Linked DNA regions of Drosophila melanogaster. The protein of the gene in region 1 purifies or fractionates together with the protein of each later gene. This does not show direct contact. Each region holds a gene or a part of one and is shown on either strand. Other genes may lie near its edges.

Region 1 (5,127 bases):
ACAGCGACGGCAGGCTGGAATATAATCTGCATTCCAATATAATATATGGACATAATAATCTATATTCTATTGCATTTGCTACTATAATAAACCGTGTTATTGAAAGTCTCCTAAGATGTTTGGATCAGCTATATATTCCGCGCACACCATTTTTGAACGACTTAAGTTAAACGTGCTATATGTTGGAAAGGTATTTCCTATTAACAGTTCTTTTACATCATTTGTAAAAAACAATTTTCGCAGAAATCCAAAATAATTAATGTTTCCAAAATGTTATTCAAAGTCACAAAACACGATATAAGAAAATGTCGGAGTTTTCGGTGCTATTGTTAATTTAAGCTCCCCTTGCTAATAGGTGTTTTTGTTTGTCGTCCCAGGTTAGTAAATTATAAATATAACAGTGACATTAATCAAGTTAAATTATAATCGAAAGGCTTAAATTGGGTTTCAAAGTTATACCTAGTAAAAATCGATCACGGAATCCATTGCGAACAATACAACATGAAACACAATTACGTTTATGCTTATACATTTATACATTAATATCCTGAAGTTATTTTAGAAAACTTTTGGCTTTTGAGAATATTTGATATGTCATTTTAAGTAAATGCTAATAAAGGGAATATGTTTTTACAAGAAGAAATTTTCTAAAGGACTGGGAATAAAGTCTCCGAATGTTAGAGCAATATATCTGGTCTGGATGGTTTGGATGTCTATGGATGGATCTAACCAGGCAATTTTCTGTATTCGAATGCACCGAATTTTTAAAAAGCTATTTTTGGGATAGCGATTTTACCATCCAGGATAGATGACATTAAAGTTAGCAAGTGGGCAGTAATCATAAAATGAGGATAGTAATGTCAATGATTGCCAATTAAGCAGAAAGGATTGCTTGTCATCGTGCATATAAATCCTAACTTACCTGAGCGGCCATGATCCGCTGCCTCTCAAAGATCAGGACACACTTGGCGCACTTGCAGTTCTTGTAGGTGCAGAGCTTCTTGTGACCCCGCAGCTCTGAAATGATCCCATGGTTCCGGCAGCGGGCGCACTTGGGCACCCGATTGGTGACCTTGGCCGGTGTGGGTTCAACTATTTTGGTGGCCTTGGGATTAGCCACAAGACGAGGACGCTTATTAGCCACTTCATCAGCAGGTTCACCACTTGAACTGGCCATCGCAACGCAGGCGAGAAATGGATTGAGAGAAAACCGATTTTTCGACTAAGAAGTTGCCGCTTTTGGAGCACAAATTTGCGACTTATTTGGAGACCAGCGAAAAGAAACTAAATTTTGGAAACACGCGCCAAAGGATCTGGAATTGTTTCAATGAATGGCGCAAACTTTGTTGACTTACGCAGGCGCTTTGGCTTTCATTTTGCAATATGAGCTTACAGGACTGTCATTGGTGGTTGCAAAATGACTAGACTCCTCCCCTTGAAGTTGCAGTCAAGGGTTTGTGGGCGGAGCCAAAGCTTTCAGATTACAAATGCTAAGTAGTGAACAATACAGCAATGCAGCGGACAAAATATTGTATATAATCCATCCATTCATTTCCTTGAAATTTCTTAAGACTTCTCAGAAACTAAAGGTTATATATTTTATGAATTTGGGAAATATTTCACATGCAAAATAGTTTATTTCAAAACCTTAACACTTATGCTACTTTGTTACCCTATAACTAATAATAAACGTTTATTAATTCGAAGCCAATGTTGATAAAATCTACGACATTTATAATAATTTGAACTTCGATAAGTTTGGCGGCATAGCGAAGTTAACCACCCAGGCGGCGCAACCAGAACTTGTACCTTAATTAGGGTGTTCGAAATGTGCCCCAATGTCACAGCAGATACGTGCACACTGGCAGCATGTTTAAAAAGCGTAGACTCCCAATTGGACGGTTCTTATTGGAGCCTAGCTAGCACGTGTGTGAAGAATTAAGATCGAGATTTAGAATTGCCAGCATGGTTGCCCAGAACTCCGACAAAATGCGGGCCCTGGCCCTGAAGCTCTTCGAGATCAATGCCTTCAAGTTCGGCGACTTCAAGATGAAAGTGGGCATAAATTCGCCGGTCTACTTCGACCTCCGAGTGATCGTCAGTTATCCGGATGTGATGGTCAGTATTTGGGATTAGTGCTCCATGTCAATGGCAGTAGCTAACTTGGTCTTCCCGCAGCAAACCGTATCCGACCTGCTGGTGGAACACATCAAGGACAAGCAGCTGAGCGCCAAACACGTGTGCGGTGTTCCCTACACGGCGCTCCCGCTGGCCACCATTGTGTCCGTGCAGCAGGGAACTCCCATGCTGGTGCGGCGCAAGGAGGCCAAGGCGTACGGCACCAAGAAGCTGGTCGAGGGCATCTTCAATGCTGGCGACACCTGTCTGATTGTCGAGGACGTGGTCACCTCCGGCTCCAGCATCCTGGACACGGTGCGGGATCTGCAAGGCGAGGGCATTGTGGTCACCGACGCCGTGGTCGTCGTAGACCGTGAGCAGGGCGGAGTGGCCAACATCGCCAAGCACGGCGTGCGGATGCACTCGCTCTTCACGCTCTCCTTTCTGCTGAACACACTTCACGAGGCCGGGCGCATCGAGAAGTCCACAGTGGAGGCGGTGGCCAAGTACATCGCCGCCGTGCAAATCAACAGCGATGGTACCTTCGTCGGCGGCGATAAGGGCGACGTTGTCAGAGGTGCGTATGCTCCAGATCCCCGTGATATCTGCCAGATAGATAGATGCATAGATAGATAATAAGTACATGACACTCGGCCAGCACATGGCCTCGAACAAATTCAATTAGGGAGCGCTCCAGTCGCGCTACTATAAAGTTATACAACCGCCATAAACGGCGGTAGGCCGATCTGGATTCCACTATCGGACCGGATCATTCCCGGGAATGCGGCACGTGATTCTGATTCAGGGCAGTGTCCGGTCCGCACTCAATTATGCCACCACGCTTATCAGCCCACTCGAGAGCCAGCCTGCTCCTTCAATCAAGCCCATCTTCTATAAATAATCACATTTCGTTTATGGCGCTTTGATGAGATGTATGGGAACCGGTTTGCTTTTTGTTTCCACCTGTAAAGTCACAGTATTCTAATCTCATCATAATCATCGTCTTTGCCTTTGGGGAGTAACTTTTGTATATACTCTTAAGATACTGTATAAACAATAGCCAAAATTGATTCCCAGTTGAAAAGAGTTATGTACTTTGGGATCGCCAAAGTGTGAAGCTATTGAAGAAAATTGGCATAGGTACAAAACAACCATATAGCGATAAGAAGAGGCGATAAGATAGGTCTACGTGCACGTTTCAAAATTGAAGTGTTAACTAATCACCATCACTTTCCCCGCAGCCAACGACTTGCAGCGCACTAAACTGACCTACGAGAATCGCGCCAATCTGGCTAAGAGCGCGGTGGCCAAGCGCCTCTTCAACCTGATAGCCAGCAAACAGACGAACCTCTGCTTGGCCGCCGACCTGACACACGCCGATGAGATCCTGGACGTGGCCGACAAGTGCGGTCCGTACATTTGCCTGCTGAAGACGCACGTAGACATTGTGGAGGATTTCAGTGATAAATTCATCGCTGACCTGCAAGCTCTGGCCCAGCGGCACAATTTCCTGCTGATGGAGGATCGCAAGTTTGCAGACATCGGCAACACGGTGTCCCTGCAGTACGGCAAGGGCATCTATAAGATTTCCAGTTGGGCAGATCTGGTCACGGCCCACACCTTACCTGGACGTAGTATTCTGCAGGGTCTGAAGGCGGGCCTTGGCGAAGGAGGAGCCGGCAAGGAACGCGGCGTCTTCCTGCTGGCGGAGATGTCTGCCAGCGGCAACCTGATCGACGCCAAGTACAAGGAGAACAGCAACAAGATCGCAACCGAGGGAGCCGATGTAGATTTCGTTGCCGGTGTGGTATGCCAATCCTCCGATGCCTTTGCCTTCCCCGGACTTCTGCAACTGACGCCCGGTGTGAAGATAGACGAGGGCGTGGACCAATTGGGCCAGCAGTACCAGAGTCCGGAGCATGTGGTCAAGGAGCGGGGTGCCGACATCGGAGTGGTGGGCAGGGGCATTCTGAAGGCCAGCAGCCCGAAGCAGGCGGCTCAGACGTACCGCGACCGCCTGTGGGCAGCCTACCAGGATCGAGTTGCCAAGTAGAAAACCCAAACAGCATTCCCCCTTAACGAATATTCCCCAATACCCATTCCCCCTTGGTTTCGGTTACCCTAGATAAGTGAAAAAATCTTCCAATTATTTACCGCGATTTTACAGTGCATTTATGAATTGAACATAGGCTATGAATCTTCCGCAAAACAGTTGGCAAACGATGCTTGCCTTAAAGTAAGAGTTACAACAAATAGAATGGTTAACAATCGATCCAACGAGGAAATCCTTAGTAGGAGGCCAGGCACTGCAAGACGTAGCTGTAGTCTCCGGAGAGGTCGTCCTGGAAAGGAGATCAGTGGATGGTGAATGTGACCCAGCTTTGCCGTTGAGTGTAAGCCAACTTTATTAGTTAATACAAGCACAAACTACGCATACGACTTTGATGCGCCATAATTTACAATAAAAAAAGACATGTATACAAAATAAAAATACGTAAAAATGTTAAATAATCGTTGAACGTTAGACGTTATTGCACAGAGGGAAAATACTAAGCGTTTTGTAGATTGGATTTTTAGAACACATCACAACTACTGTATATAGACCAACTCCATTTGTTCTTCGCTTTTGTTATACTTTTTTTTGGGGAAATGCAACGTTTTTTTGTTTTTGGCATTTTCTACTTGAACAGTGGGGTATTGCTCATAGATATTCGGATATTCCGGCTGCTTCCGTCTACCAAGCCGTAAGAGTGACCAGGACGTATCCAATATCGGTCTCGGCATCCTCCTGTTGTTGGTTCGTTTAAACGGGTAGAGAAAAGCGTGAAAAGAGCAGAGGGTCAGAGCATTAAACGCCTTTTACTTTGTATACATGGCTTATGGTTTGGTTAATTGCCGGAAGCTACTCCTCCAAGGGGTAATCAACTATATATCTACCTGATCAGCAAATGAATGTCTTTCAAATTTAACATAACATTTAAAGTTTTACATCTTGAAATTGTATGTACA
Region 2 (4,461 bases), on another chromosome or scaffold:
TTTCAGAGTACATATGTCCATATATGAATTTATATGAATGAAGTATATAAAAAAAACAATATTTTAATTTAAAACAAAAACAAACTAAATGTGCTGACCAAAGTTGGGATTGAACCGCAACCACCAGCTGTCTAGACAGACACTTTAGACAGCTTGACTACAGACTTCCTTGCATATATTTGTTGTACACGTTTCTGACTGACATAGTTTAATAGCTATGAAACTCAGCTCGACCAGCAGATGGCGTTTCGTAGCTGCTGCGACTTCACACAATGTTCGCTAGATGTCGCCGATATAATTTTAGTACAAAGTAGAATAGCGCCATCATCATTACCGGCCAAATATGGAACTTTATAAAACGCAATAGCATACTTTTAGGCTATAAATATAAAAAAAATTACAAATAAATTACATTGGGTAAGAATTTTCTTGCTCCTGAACAGTTACTTAGCTCTTAAAGAGATGAGCAATATTGAAAAGCAGATTTTCGGTAATCCCTTAAGCAACACACTCTGCATCGTACCTTCGATAAGTTTTGGCCAGCGAAACTTGGCAATCCTTTGCGGATGCAATTTGGAATTAATTATGGCCCGCTTGCTTGCCACTTGCCACTTGGCCGGGAACTTTTTGGGGGGCGAGCGGAGAACGGCCGACGCAGCCGCAACTTCGGACCAGCTTGTGCTGAGGTTACAAATTCTCATATGTCGCCACACACACAGGACGAAATGTGATGGACAGAAGGACATTTGGGGGCGAGGAGGTTTGGGTGGATTGGAAGCAGTTGACACAAGAGCATTTAACGCTTCAGCACGTTTTCAATTCAATTTCCACATCTTGAAGGCTGCGCCAAGGAAGCCGAGGCGTTGGAGCGTGCGAAAACTTAAGCAGACGCACCGAGCATGACAAACGAGGCTAAGGACAATGCCGGCAGGATAATGATAATGAAAGCGAATCGTGGGCGCTGCAAGACGACGGGCGTGGCCGGATAAAAAACGGAAGCTAGTGCTGCTTAATGAAGATGCCTGCAGTGGCAGCCTTGCAATAAATCAACAAATTACGCGGCAAGGGCTGACTAGGGGATTGTATCTCGCAGATACCGAGATACTTGGCCATATTTGTGCGCAGAAACAATAAGTGAACCGCTTAAAAATGCATAAATCAAGGCCCAAAACGCAGCCAAGGGAACTGAAACAAAAGCGAAGCGAGAAGCAACTGTCAAAATGATAATCGCCAACAACTGTTGAGGCTGTCTTGGCCTTATGACAAATGTTGTCGTCTCGAAAAGGGGGTGTGTGTGTGTGTGTTTCCTAAAACACCACCCACCACGCACTGGCCGAAATCAATGTTTGAAAAACACATTTTACTTATTAGTTTCGCTATGTTTGCGGAGGACAGGGTCACTCAAAATAGCGCATCATAATGGGACAGAGCAGAACTGAACGATTTCGATTCCGATCCATCCATGTCGGTCATAATCGTAAAAACAAATGCAAAACGCAAAAGCCAAATTCCTGACAGCACATTCCCCCAATTGTCAACCCCTTAATCCACTTGTTTTCCAAAACCCATAATCCTCTCTTTGACGGCTGCCCATTATCATAATCTTATTGTTGGTGGTGGTGGAGATTCCAGTCCAGCCCAGCTGACCATTTGCTGAAACACTTTTCGACATCTTTTTGAGTATTTTACTATGGGATGCAATCTCAAAATCGGATTATCAGCGGTCATGAAAACAGTCTTGGCAATTAATCATTGCTTAAGTAAACATAAATAGTAAATATGATTAGTATGGCAACAGTGACGGAATAATTGATTGGTAGATGAAATAAATTCACTTATGAACAAAACTTTTAGTATCTCTTTCTTAGCTCAAAGAAATATCGATATAATAAGTCAGTTGATAATGGTGAGACCTAACTTGAAGCTTTAAATTCGAGTTCTTGCGTCTATCACTTTCGTTTTTATGGTATTACTATCACAGAAGTTAGAGAGATATATAAATTATAAGCCTTCATTTTAATTCTTAACGTATTATACAAAATGGGTGAATTGCAAGCGGGAAAATCGCCCTTTAAGACAAGAAACACCTTTGATGAAAACTTAAAGATCTGGAGTGGTGGCGAAAAACGCAGTTTATTCTCACCAGATTTGTCCATTGGAGAAATTATCTTTCAACAAATGGAGCGCAATGCTATGCTCACTGCCCAGGTACTTAATAAATTTACAAGAAACAATATTTATATTCATCGAAACAAAACCTTTAGATTTCAGTTACAGAAAACACTGAGCTGACCTGGAAAGACATCCAGACAAACGCGATGAAGGTGGCAAGTTATATGCGTAAACTGGGTCTGGAGCAAGGTGACTTTGTGGGAGTCATTGGCAGGTTGACCACTCACTTGACTGCTCTGGCCTATGCCTGTTTCTTTAATGGAACTCCTTATCATGCCCTACACACCGAATACGAACAATCTGCCATCGAGAGACTGTTCGGAATAACCAAGCCACGCTTAATCTTCTGTGATGGAGATGAGTTTGAGAAAGTTCAAGCAGCCACCAAAGGCCTTCAGGTACAAATAGTAACCATGCGTAATCACCCGGCAGGAATATTGAGAATTCAGGATATTTTAACCACTCCCGTGGAGATGAACTTTCGACCAGTGCGACTGAAAGACGGTACTGATCAACTACTGGCCATTCTTAGCTCTTCGGGAACATCCGGCCTTCCAAAGGCAGTCACCATTAGCAATAGTCACCAGATTATTGGGAGTTTTCTGTAAATATTACCACCTTAATTTTATACACCCATCTAATTTATTATTTTCAGACCCGTGGATAGCTCGATTATTCAGTATAACCCAAACACTTTGGATTGGGCATCAGGCATCACGATGACCATCAATGCAGCCGTGTTTAGCTTGACTAGTATAATTGAAGATTGTGACTTTGATCCTGCCAATTTGTGTGGCCTAATTGAGAAGTATCGAATATCGATGGTGTTCGTAAGTTCCTCGCAATTGGCGATGCTGTCCAATTGCCCGGAATTCTATGCGGCGGACCTATCATCCGTGAAGTATTTCTTTTACGGCGGATCAAACTGCTCACTGGAAGTCCAGAACAAAATTCGCAGCCGTCTAAGCAACGAATGTGTAAATTTCAGTTATACACTAACCGAGTTGAACAGCCCCGGATGCCTAAACTTCAACTTCGATGAGAAACCCAATTCAGTGGGTCGTCCGGTTAGAGGCATTCAAATCAAAATAGTCAACGAGCTGGGTGAAGCACAAGGACCCAATGTCGTGGGCGAGATATGCTTCAATAATGGTCAGAAATGGCCTGGTTACTACAAGAATCCGGAAGAAACGAAGAAGATGCAGGACTCGGAGAACTGGTTTCACACCGGGGACCTGGGCTACATGGACGAGGATGGATATTTGTTCATTATCGATCGCTTGAAGGATATGCTCAAGTATCAGACCATCATGTATTACCCCAGCGAGATTGAAAGTGTCATCGCTGAAATGCCAAATGTTGTGGAAGCTTGTGTCTTTGGCATTTGGGATCCCGTTTATGGAGATAAGGCAGCCGCTTCAGTGGTCAAGAAACAAGGAACCCAACTAGAGGCCCAGGATGTTGTGGAGTATGTGAGGAAACGTATACCTGCCAAATTTAAGCAGTTGAATGGAGGAGCTTTGATTGTGGATCACATTATTCAGAGTGGCAATAGAAAAGCAAACAGAGCGGCCACAAAAGCTGAGTTTTTACGAATTATGGAGAAGAATTAGTTTTGCATATTTAATTATTGTAATGTTTATGTTGTATTTGTATTTTTATTGTATTTGTATTTGTATTTGTTGTATTTATCGTAAGCTTTTTAAGAGGTTCGCCATCTTAGGCATTTTTTCATATTCGCCGAGTAAAATAATACCGAAACACATATCGATTACAAAATCGTTAATACAGCTGATCTTTCGTAATTATGTACATTATTGCTGTGAAATAGCATTGCTGATACGAGGGGTTATAATAGCATAATTTACTTAAAAACTAATAATCGACTCAGCATTTTCTTATAATGGCTGAAATGGAAGTAAAACAAAAACTATTGAACGCGATGTGCACTTATGATGATAAACTCAAGATCTGGAGTGGTCGTGAAGCACCAAGTTTATTTTCGCCAAACTTATCAATCGGAGAGATAATCTTTGGGGATATGGTAAACAATCCGAAACTCATTGCCCAGGTGAGTTTCTTTTCTCTCGAAATCAGAGAAATGTATAGATTTGCATTGAACCACCAGATCTCGATCACGGAGGACATCGTACTCACCCGCGAAGATCTTCATATGAATGCGATGCGAGTGGCTAGTTATATGAGGAATATGGGCTTGGGGCAAACTGATATAGTGGGGGTCATGGGCAGACACACGACTCACCAATCAGCTGTGGCATATGCATGCTT
Region 3 (8,022 bases), 240 kb from region 1:
CTCTCATAAGTCTTTTTACATTTAAAGTACTTAAATAATATATTATTATTCTCTTTTCATTGATGTTCGTAGTTGATAGGTGTATTGTTTAGTTACAACGAATTTTTGTAAAAAGACTAACTAGTTAATATTTAAATATATTTTATCTTTAAGGTTCATATTTGATATACATAGTTATTTGCTAATAAATTCCTATGTAAAAAACAAGAGAAATTGCGTAATTCAAATTAAATCCAACTCTTATAATATCTAAGTCGTATAATTTGTTTACAAACAACTTTATTTTGTTTACAACAAAATAAAAACTTATCCATTTGAAAAGCCGTTACTTAACGAATCGTGGTTACGGTCACACTACAGCGATCAGCTGTTGGCGACCGCACTATTTTGTTTATTCCATTTTGTTTGACCATGTCGGAAGCCGATGAAAAGTGTCACTTGTAAGTAGTTAACAAGTAATATTAATTATAGCGGTTCAATATATATTAATCTCCTGCAGCTGTCGCGAGGTGTCCTTCAAGTACACCTGTCCCAAGTGCAATGCTTTGTATTGCAGCGTGGGATGCTACAAGTCCAAGGAGCACCTTAAATGTTCCGAGGCTTTCTACAAGTCCTGCATTCAGGACGAGCTGACCCAAAACACGGTAACGCAGGAAAGCCAGGAGGACATGCGGAAAATATACGACATACTGAAGAGGATGAGAGAAACGGACAGTGGTTTCAATCCCCAGGAATTTGATACAGATGGCCTGGAAAATAGTTTGGACTCGGATGGAGGCGAGGAAGGAGAGTCAGAAGAAGATGAGGCGGAAGAAAACGTCACCGAGGGGGACATACTGGATGAAGACCTGGAGGAAGACATTGCAACTCGACTGAAAGGCGTTGATATCAACGATGCGGATGAAGTTTGGAGCCGGTTAACTACAGAGGAGCAAGATGAGTTCCAGAAATTGATCACCAATGGAGATATCATGAAGCTTATGCCAGACTACAAGCCCTGGTGGATCAAGCCGAAGAACTCTAAGATTGTGATTATACCTACACCCGAAGAAGCTGCCAAGAAAGAGAGCCGTGTTCCCGAAATTTTCGGGAGCATTGCCAAATTCTCCGATATATGCAAGAAAACTCCGTCTCCGTGCCTGCACTACAATTTGTGGAACATACTAAGCGCCTACGCCTGTGTGGCTCGTTTCTTTGGCGGCGAACAGAGGACCAATGCCAGCGAGGCAGTGGCCCACCTTGTCAATCTCAGCGCCACCTTAAAGTACGGCACCAACTTCGAGGATGCTGAGGACGCTATTGTCTCCGTAGAGATGGAAGCCATCACCACGGGTAATGGTCCTGCCGGCGCGGCTGCAGTTGGAAGTGCTGCAGGAGGTGCCAATTTCCTCGTCGACAACAGGGAGCAGCTGCAGCAGGATGCCCGCCAGTTGATGGCTACGAAGGAGCACAAGTTGGCCGCCCTTAGTGATGTTCTCTATCTGCTGCAGCAGACGAAGGCAATCAGTCGCCGTAAGAATACCCAGGAAGCCGAGTTCCAGAAGCTGTTCGCTTTGGCCAGCGGAAGTGTGCAATTGGATCGCACCAAACTGGCGCAACTGGTTCGCAAAATCGAGTTTATGCTGTCGTATGTGGCGCGGGAAGAAGTCCTTTAAGCAATCCTCTAAAATAAACATTTCAAAATAATTCTGTTTTTATATTGTCCACAAAATTTGGAGCGGTATTGACTATAGATTGATTGTTATTTTATTGTTTTATTTTACTTGGAATTTAAATACAACTATGTATAATTAGTGTACACATTTTGATTGGAAACTTCAGTATTTTAAGGACTTAAAGAACAAATTGGTTTAAGTAAAACTTGACTTTGTGCTAGTACTGTAACTAGTACTTAAAAATATGTACAGATGTCTTAAAAATAAATGTATATCCTAAATACATTTCGGTATTTTTGTATTCGTATGGAGCGGTATTTTCAGCTAGCCGCGAGGTGTATTTGAATGGTCGCGAAACGGTCACACCTCACATAGTTTTTTTAGTTGGCGATTCCAGACACACACTCGAGTTGTAGTGCTTTTTTACGCTATTTTGTTATTGGTAGGTTGTCGCCCTGCTTCGGTATGAACAAGTGCCAGAGACCCAAAGCCAAGGATTATTTAACAACCATTTAAATGCAGTGCAGCTGCAGCAGCAGCAACAACAAAAGCGATCGCAATTTAGAACAGAACATTTCATGTAAACGCGTTTGGGTGTAGCGGAATTTCGCTTCCCGTGTGTTTGTGTGACCTAGCCGAGCGTGTGTGCGTGTCGGTGTGCGTCTGGCAACAACAAAATCCAATCGGCCAGCAAGTGCTCTTCGTACGCTTCGCCTGCTAAAAATTAGTGCACAGCGAAAGCATTTTAATAGCAGCGCCCCAAGAAAACCTTATGTAAGGTGTGCTGGAAAACGATGCAAATATTTACAGTAGAAACGGTCGAGACAAGTTCAATCTCAAAGATAAACGAGTTTCTTGGTTGTTTGGCGGAGGGGGATTTCTTATCGCCTAAGTGTGCGACGTGTTGGTTTAGATGTGCATATACGTATGTGTGTGTGTGTGTGTGGCGCGAGTGCTTGTGAGAGCGCCGTAAAGGTGCTTATCTATCTCCACAAATATGCGAAGTATGCGTCAACCTGTTTGTAAACTTTCTGCTGGCCATTTCCACACGCAAAACACGAAAATCGCACTGAGCCGCGATCCTATATTTATATTTATAGCCGATGATGGGGAAAATCCGTAAGCGCATCGTGAGTCGATGACGCCCAAATCAAGTCAACCCAAGATACAAGATTCCACATTCAGCAGACCCAACATCACCAATCTACACATGTGTGTAGGTGATTAAACTTCAGCAGAGGTTATTATACATATATAAATAAGAAAGCATGTATATAACCGGTCAATGCTGCTGATAACATAACCGTTATTCACCATACGGGTGTGTGCGAGTGGAACTCAAACTGACTGCATTGTTTACAAACAGCTGATGCAGGGAAACTCCACTCCACTGATAAGATACCAAGATTTCCCATCGCCGAGTATGAAAAAATTTAGCTCGCTACACAGAGAGAATTGAAATGTTAAATGTTGTCACACGTAAGGGTCTCCAATACGATGTACACTGCTGCTCTTAGGTTAGACGCACAATCGTTTTTTTTTTAACAAAATCGATCATTTATTTGCATGCTTTTTTTAATTGTCCAAAATGCTTTTCTTATCAAAGTTTTCTGTTGGTCATTGAATTAGATGCAGCTTAAATTTCTTCGTATTGCGTGGACAAGTATAAACTGTTGTATTGAAAAAATATAACAAATAAACGAATAAAGTGTTTTCGAGCTACATTTGAAGAAAAAATGGGTAAAGCTGCTGCTTATTGGAACGTCAAAAAGTAGACTTCCTACACTCGCAAGGATTGCCTAATCGGAACATTGCCAAACAGATAAATCGCAGCTGCAGAACTGTTGATAGATATTTGAAGGTTCCAGAGGCATATGGGAATAACTTCAAAGGAAAGAAAAAAGCACTATCAAAGCAAGCAGAACGCCAAATTGTTAGAATTGCTTCGAATTCTAATTTTCGAATTTGTCCGGAGTAAAAACAAGCGTATCAACTGTTCAGCGTACAATCAGAAATGCAGAACACCTGAAGCGTGTATGTATATTAAATTTCAAATTCAATTTTTGGGATCTCATTTATCTGGGTTACAAAATATGGGTGCATGAGAATTCCCTTGATAAGATGAAACTATTACGGTGGAAAATGTATGCTACACAGAAAGAAAATCTGTCAACATTATCTATTTATCTCAAAAAACAGAAATAATATTTGAAAGCGATACTAAAAATAATCGAATTCAAAATAAATTACAAATATTTATTTATCTTAATATGGTTAAAAATATGTTTATTTTTTAGTTTCGAAGAAAATTTTTTCAATTAAAATAAGACATTACCTTAATATTCCAATTTGAAAATAGTAAACCCATTGGCAGAACACCATGCAAAGTTGCACAATGAGTCAGGGGTGATAAGTCCAGTCTTTATCAATGGGGACACTCGGCGAAACCGTCAAGAAATATGGTCGTTGATAAGGCTCCAGTAATTAAAGTTCTGCCTGTTGCATCAATGTGAAGGAATTTCTTAATTGAACAAATTAGGCAAACAATAAATTTACTCAGAGCCCGTCTCGTTTGGGTTTACTATAGTATGTCGTTTAACAAACGATTTGTTGGTCTTAGCCAAACACTACAAAAATACAAGTTTGCGTATAAACAAAGAGCTTTTTGTTGTTGCTGCTGTGTGGAAGTTGTTTATGTCTGCAGTGTCTATTTACGTAACAAAACTCATATTTTACGATTATTGCGCTTAAGCCCGTCGTATGTGATTGATTAATATTGATTGGAATCCACAGGAAATGTCCCACCACAGCGATGATCAGCTCCTCCAGGCTGGAAGCGATTCCTTCTGGGAGCCCGGCAACTACAAACGCACCACCAAGCGGATCGAGGATGGTTACAAGTGAGTGGATAATCCCCAGGGAGTCTTGGTGCACAGAGAGATACTTTATTTTGCCATTATGTCAGTCGAATTCCTCGACATAATACAATTGGCTTAATATTCAAAAACATATTCGTAGCTGCAACCCAATCGTTTTTCAACGTTTCTGTCATACCAATTGGTATTGGTAACTGTATCTTTTCTGTGTGTTTAGTAGGTCATGCAGTGTCATCACATTGTTTTGAATGCAAACTTACAGCAATTCGTATTTATTTAAGGGAAAAAAATAAGAAAATATAAAGACCTTGGTATAAGCATTGGTCTTAGTATTAACTCAATTTGTTCTACTTATGTGGACATTTCATAAACTTTTTTAATGAGCTTTGATTTCTAGTGATACAATCAATCTTTTTAAGCAAATAGGTAATGGGTTCTCTCTGTGTATTTGCACTGGGCGACGCTGGGTCATTGCCAGCCGAATATATCGACACCCGAAGCCCAAACCCAAGACAAAAATTCAAACCGGTTTGCATTATTATGATTCTTGTCTCATTTCGCCCGCAGACTCTGCAATGACCTACAGCAACTGATTCAGGAGCGTGCCGACATCGAGAAGGGATATGCGAAAAGCCTGCGCACCTGGTCAAAGAAATGGGGTGAACTCATTGAGAAAGGTAAGTGAGCGGCAGGTGGGGATCTGGTGAGATATGGGGATGTGGGTGGCTGTGGCCTGTGGGATGAGACATCATCAGTCGTGGAAGCCTTCTGTTGGCCAACACATTCATTCACGAGCTAAAAGCCCAGTGGAGCATCAAGTGACCCGCTCACGTTGAATTCCCACCACTTATTTGGCCCACTGGCTGTTCTTATTTTCTACATTCTGTACATCATTCTGAGCATTGTTGTTGCCGTTGTGCGATAAGTGGCTTAAGCTATTAATGGTTTTTTTTACGTTTTTCGTTACCTCGTTTTTGTCGGTTGTATTCTGCAAAAGCTGCGCACTGTGGTTCAAAATCGCCACACCAATTTATTTAAGTATGTTAATGAGCGGGGCTGGCAAAGTGTTTGGATTAACTAACATAAACATATGCATACACTCTTCACACTCTTCATTCTAAACAATTAAAATTCGGCAGCGGAAATCTTAAGTTTGTACAAGAGAAAATAATAAATAAATAAAGAATCAAATATCTGTGGGTTTCTGCTTTATAGTAATATACAATTTTTATTTTTTGATATATAAGTTATATGGGTTCTTAAGGTTTTATTACCTTGCTATTGCCTCATATATGTACTTCTATAAGTACACACTACCAAATACTATTTTCGAAAACGGCGGTAATCATCGACTCACTCATTGTTTTCGGAATTGGGTCTTTGACCATTTTTAGCGGATGTCCGGCACAGTGTGCGCGCTTCTTCGTAAAATGAAATCGAGTACAGCGCTTGCGAAGTTGGAAACCGCTTTGCCCCATTGGTACTGTTTGCTTCTATTGCTGCTATTTTCTGTGACCGCCTCTGCACGGAATTCTCAGTGTCCACTTTCACAGTAACCAGCGATGGGCAATTGCAAAAGCGACTACCATCACTTCCTCCGCCTCCGAGTGCTCTTCGAGTTTTCTTATTTGCGAGGAATTTGCCTAGCCGCGTCTAGCCAAAGATACAGATACGAATACGTGTGCAGATACAAATACAGATACAGATACGTTCACAGTTACAGATACGGAGACTGGGAGGCAGAAGCGCTGGACAGTGGCCCATAACTCGGCACCAAAGCAAACCGGCACCAGAGCGTCGCTTGAAATGGTTTCAAAAATCAATGCGACGAGAAAATAGAACGAGTTATTTGTGTGCTAAGCGTCTCAATTTCTATATATCTGTTTGTGTGCCTTTTCACAGGGGGAATTGGGAATAGTGAGTCGTTAGGCAAACGAGTTCCGTGCACTGCCAATTATAAGACGAGCATCATATCAACTTGATTGCCGTGTGTTTGGGGTCCCAATAAAAAATGCCAAAAATGTACGATGTTCCTCCATCGCAGCACCCATACAAGCGCTTATTCTTCGGGCATTTTATATTTGCTATACCTATAGATATGGCTACATATGTATGTTTGTATATATCTTGCGGCTGCGGCTGATTAGATAAACCAAGTACCCGCGGGGCTCACGATGACGTCAGCCGCAAACAGCTCGACAGGGTGACACGCTTGTAATCTGTTGTTAATTGAGAAACGCTAAAAGAGATATATAACGAATGTCTGATTTGTTTCAGGCCCGGAATACGGAACCACGGAGGCAGCCTGGAAGGGCGTTCTGACGGAATCGGAACGCATCTCCGACGTTCACATGAAGATCAAGGACAATCTCTGCAACGATGTGAACAGCCAGATAAAGACGTGGCAGAAGGAGAACTACCACCACACGCTTATGCAGATCAAGGAGCGCAAGGACCTGGAGGATCTGTTCAAGAAGGCCCAGAAACCCTGGGCCAAGCTGCTGGCAAAGGTCGAGAAGGCCAAAGCGGACTACCATTCGGCCTGCAAGACGGAGCGCAGTGCTACCAATCAGGAACGCAATGCCAATGCCGATAGCTCGTTGTCGCCGGATCAGGTAAGGATCTTTTTTGTAAAAGCAATAGTTTAGTTATACATATGTATGTATAACTATTAATTTAATTTATTTATTAATTTTATGCTCACACCACTTCTCATTTCCTAATTAGGTGAAGAAAATGCACGATCGAGTGCAAAAGACCAAAGATCAAGTGCAAAAGTGCCGGGAAAAGTACGAGCAGGCGATTGCCGAAATCACCAAATACAATTCGGTGTACATCGAGGACATGACATCCGTGTTTGAAAAGTGCCAAACCTTTGAGAAGACGCGTTTGCAGTTCTTCAAAGAAATCCTGTTCAACGTGCACTCGTGCCTGGACCTCACAAAAGTGCAAAGGTGCGAATTGAATTTGATTTGAGTTTAACTGATCCATTTAAATAACTTTTACATGACTTACAGCCTGCCCCAAATCTACGAGGAGTTCTCCCACACGATCAACAATGCAGACCAGCAGAAAGACCTAAAATGGTGGTCGAACAATCATGGCATTAACATGGCCATGAATTGGCCATCATTTGTGGTGAGTTTTCTGTTTTTACTGAAGCCCAGTGTGGCCGCTAATGGAAGAACTTCCTATTTGTTGACAGGAATATACGGAGGAGTTCCGTGACATTGCCAAGGGCAACAAATCAAAAGAGGCACTGCCGGCAGCACCCATCACGCTCATCAACCAGCGACCTGTGGCCGAGGATGTGCACGTAAGCCAGTTGACTACCCAGTAGTTAATATCAGACTAAGCCAGCTCTTTAGCAGGAATACCCCCAGACAAACAGCCTGAAGAAGAACACCAGCACCTTGAGCAGTGTCAGCAGCAGAGCGAGTGTGAAGAGCGAAATAGCGACCACGCAATCCTCAGTCACCACATCGGAAGCC

Evidence for each region.
Region 2: the proteins of r-l (region 1) and CG5568 purify together in Drosophila melanogaster (affinity purification with mass spectrometry, with the first as the bait; one large-scale study listed by BioGRID). This does not show direct contact.
Region 3: the proteins of r-l (region 1) and Synd purify together in Drosophila melanogaster (affinity purification with mass spectrometry, with the first as the bait; one large-scale study listed by BioGRID). This does not show direct contact.

What each region holds. Positions count from the first base shown.
Region 1 is NT_033777.3:21,070,057-21,075,183, reverse strand, and holds r-l (rudimentary-like), read left to right. Parts: upstream 1-1,864; 5' UTR 1,865-1,965; coding exon 1,966-2,118; intron 2,119-2,178; coding exon 2,179-2,695; intron 2,696-3,359; coding exon 3,360-4,171; 3' UTR 4,172-4,406; coding exon of another isoform or gene 4,407-4,460; 3' UTR 4,461-4,627; downstream 4,628-5,127. Other genes in the region: dmrt93B (doublesex-Mab related 93B), read right to left, coding at 923-1,177.
Region 2 is NT_037436.4:5,869,558-5,874,018, forward strand, and holds CG5568 (uncharacterized protein), read left to right. Parts: upstream 1-1,943; 5' UTR 1,944-2,040; coding exon 2,041-2,208; intron 2,209-2,264; coding exon 2,265-2,776; intron 2,777-2,827; coding exon 2,828-3,785; 3' UTR 3,786-3,961; downstream 3,962-4,461. Other genes in the region: CG18586 (uncharacterized protein), read left to right, coding at 4,076-4,243, 4,301-4,461.
Region 3 is NT_033777.3:20,830,777-20,838,798, forward strand, and holds the start of Synd (syndapin), read left to right. Parts: upstream 1-2,022; 5' UTR 2,023-2,097; intron 2,098-3,620; exon of another isoform or gene 3,621-3,689; intron 3,690-4,448; 5' UTR 4,449-4,451; coding exon 4,452-4,555; intron 4,556-5,098; coding exon 5,099-5,208; intron 5,209-6,808; coding exon 6,809-7,146; intron 7,147-7,258; coding exon 7,259-7,485; intron 7,486-7,548; coding exon 7,549-7,669; intron 7,670-7,736; coding exon 7,737-7,847; intron 7,848-7,899; coding exon 7,900-8,022. Other genes in the region: CG31223 (uncharacterized protein), read left to right, coding at 412-440, 500-1,655.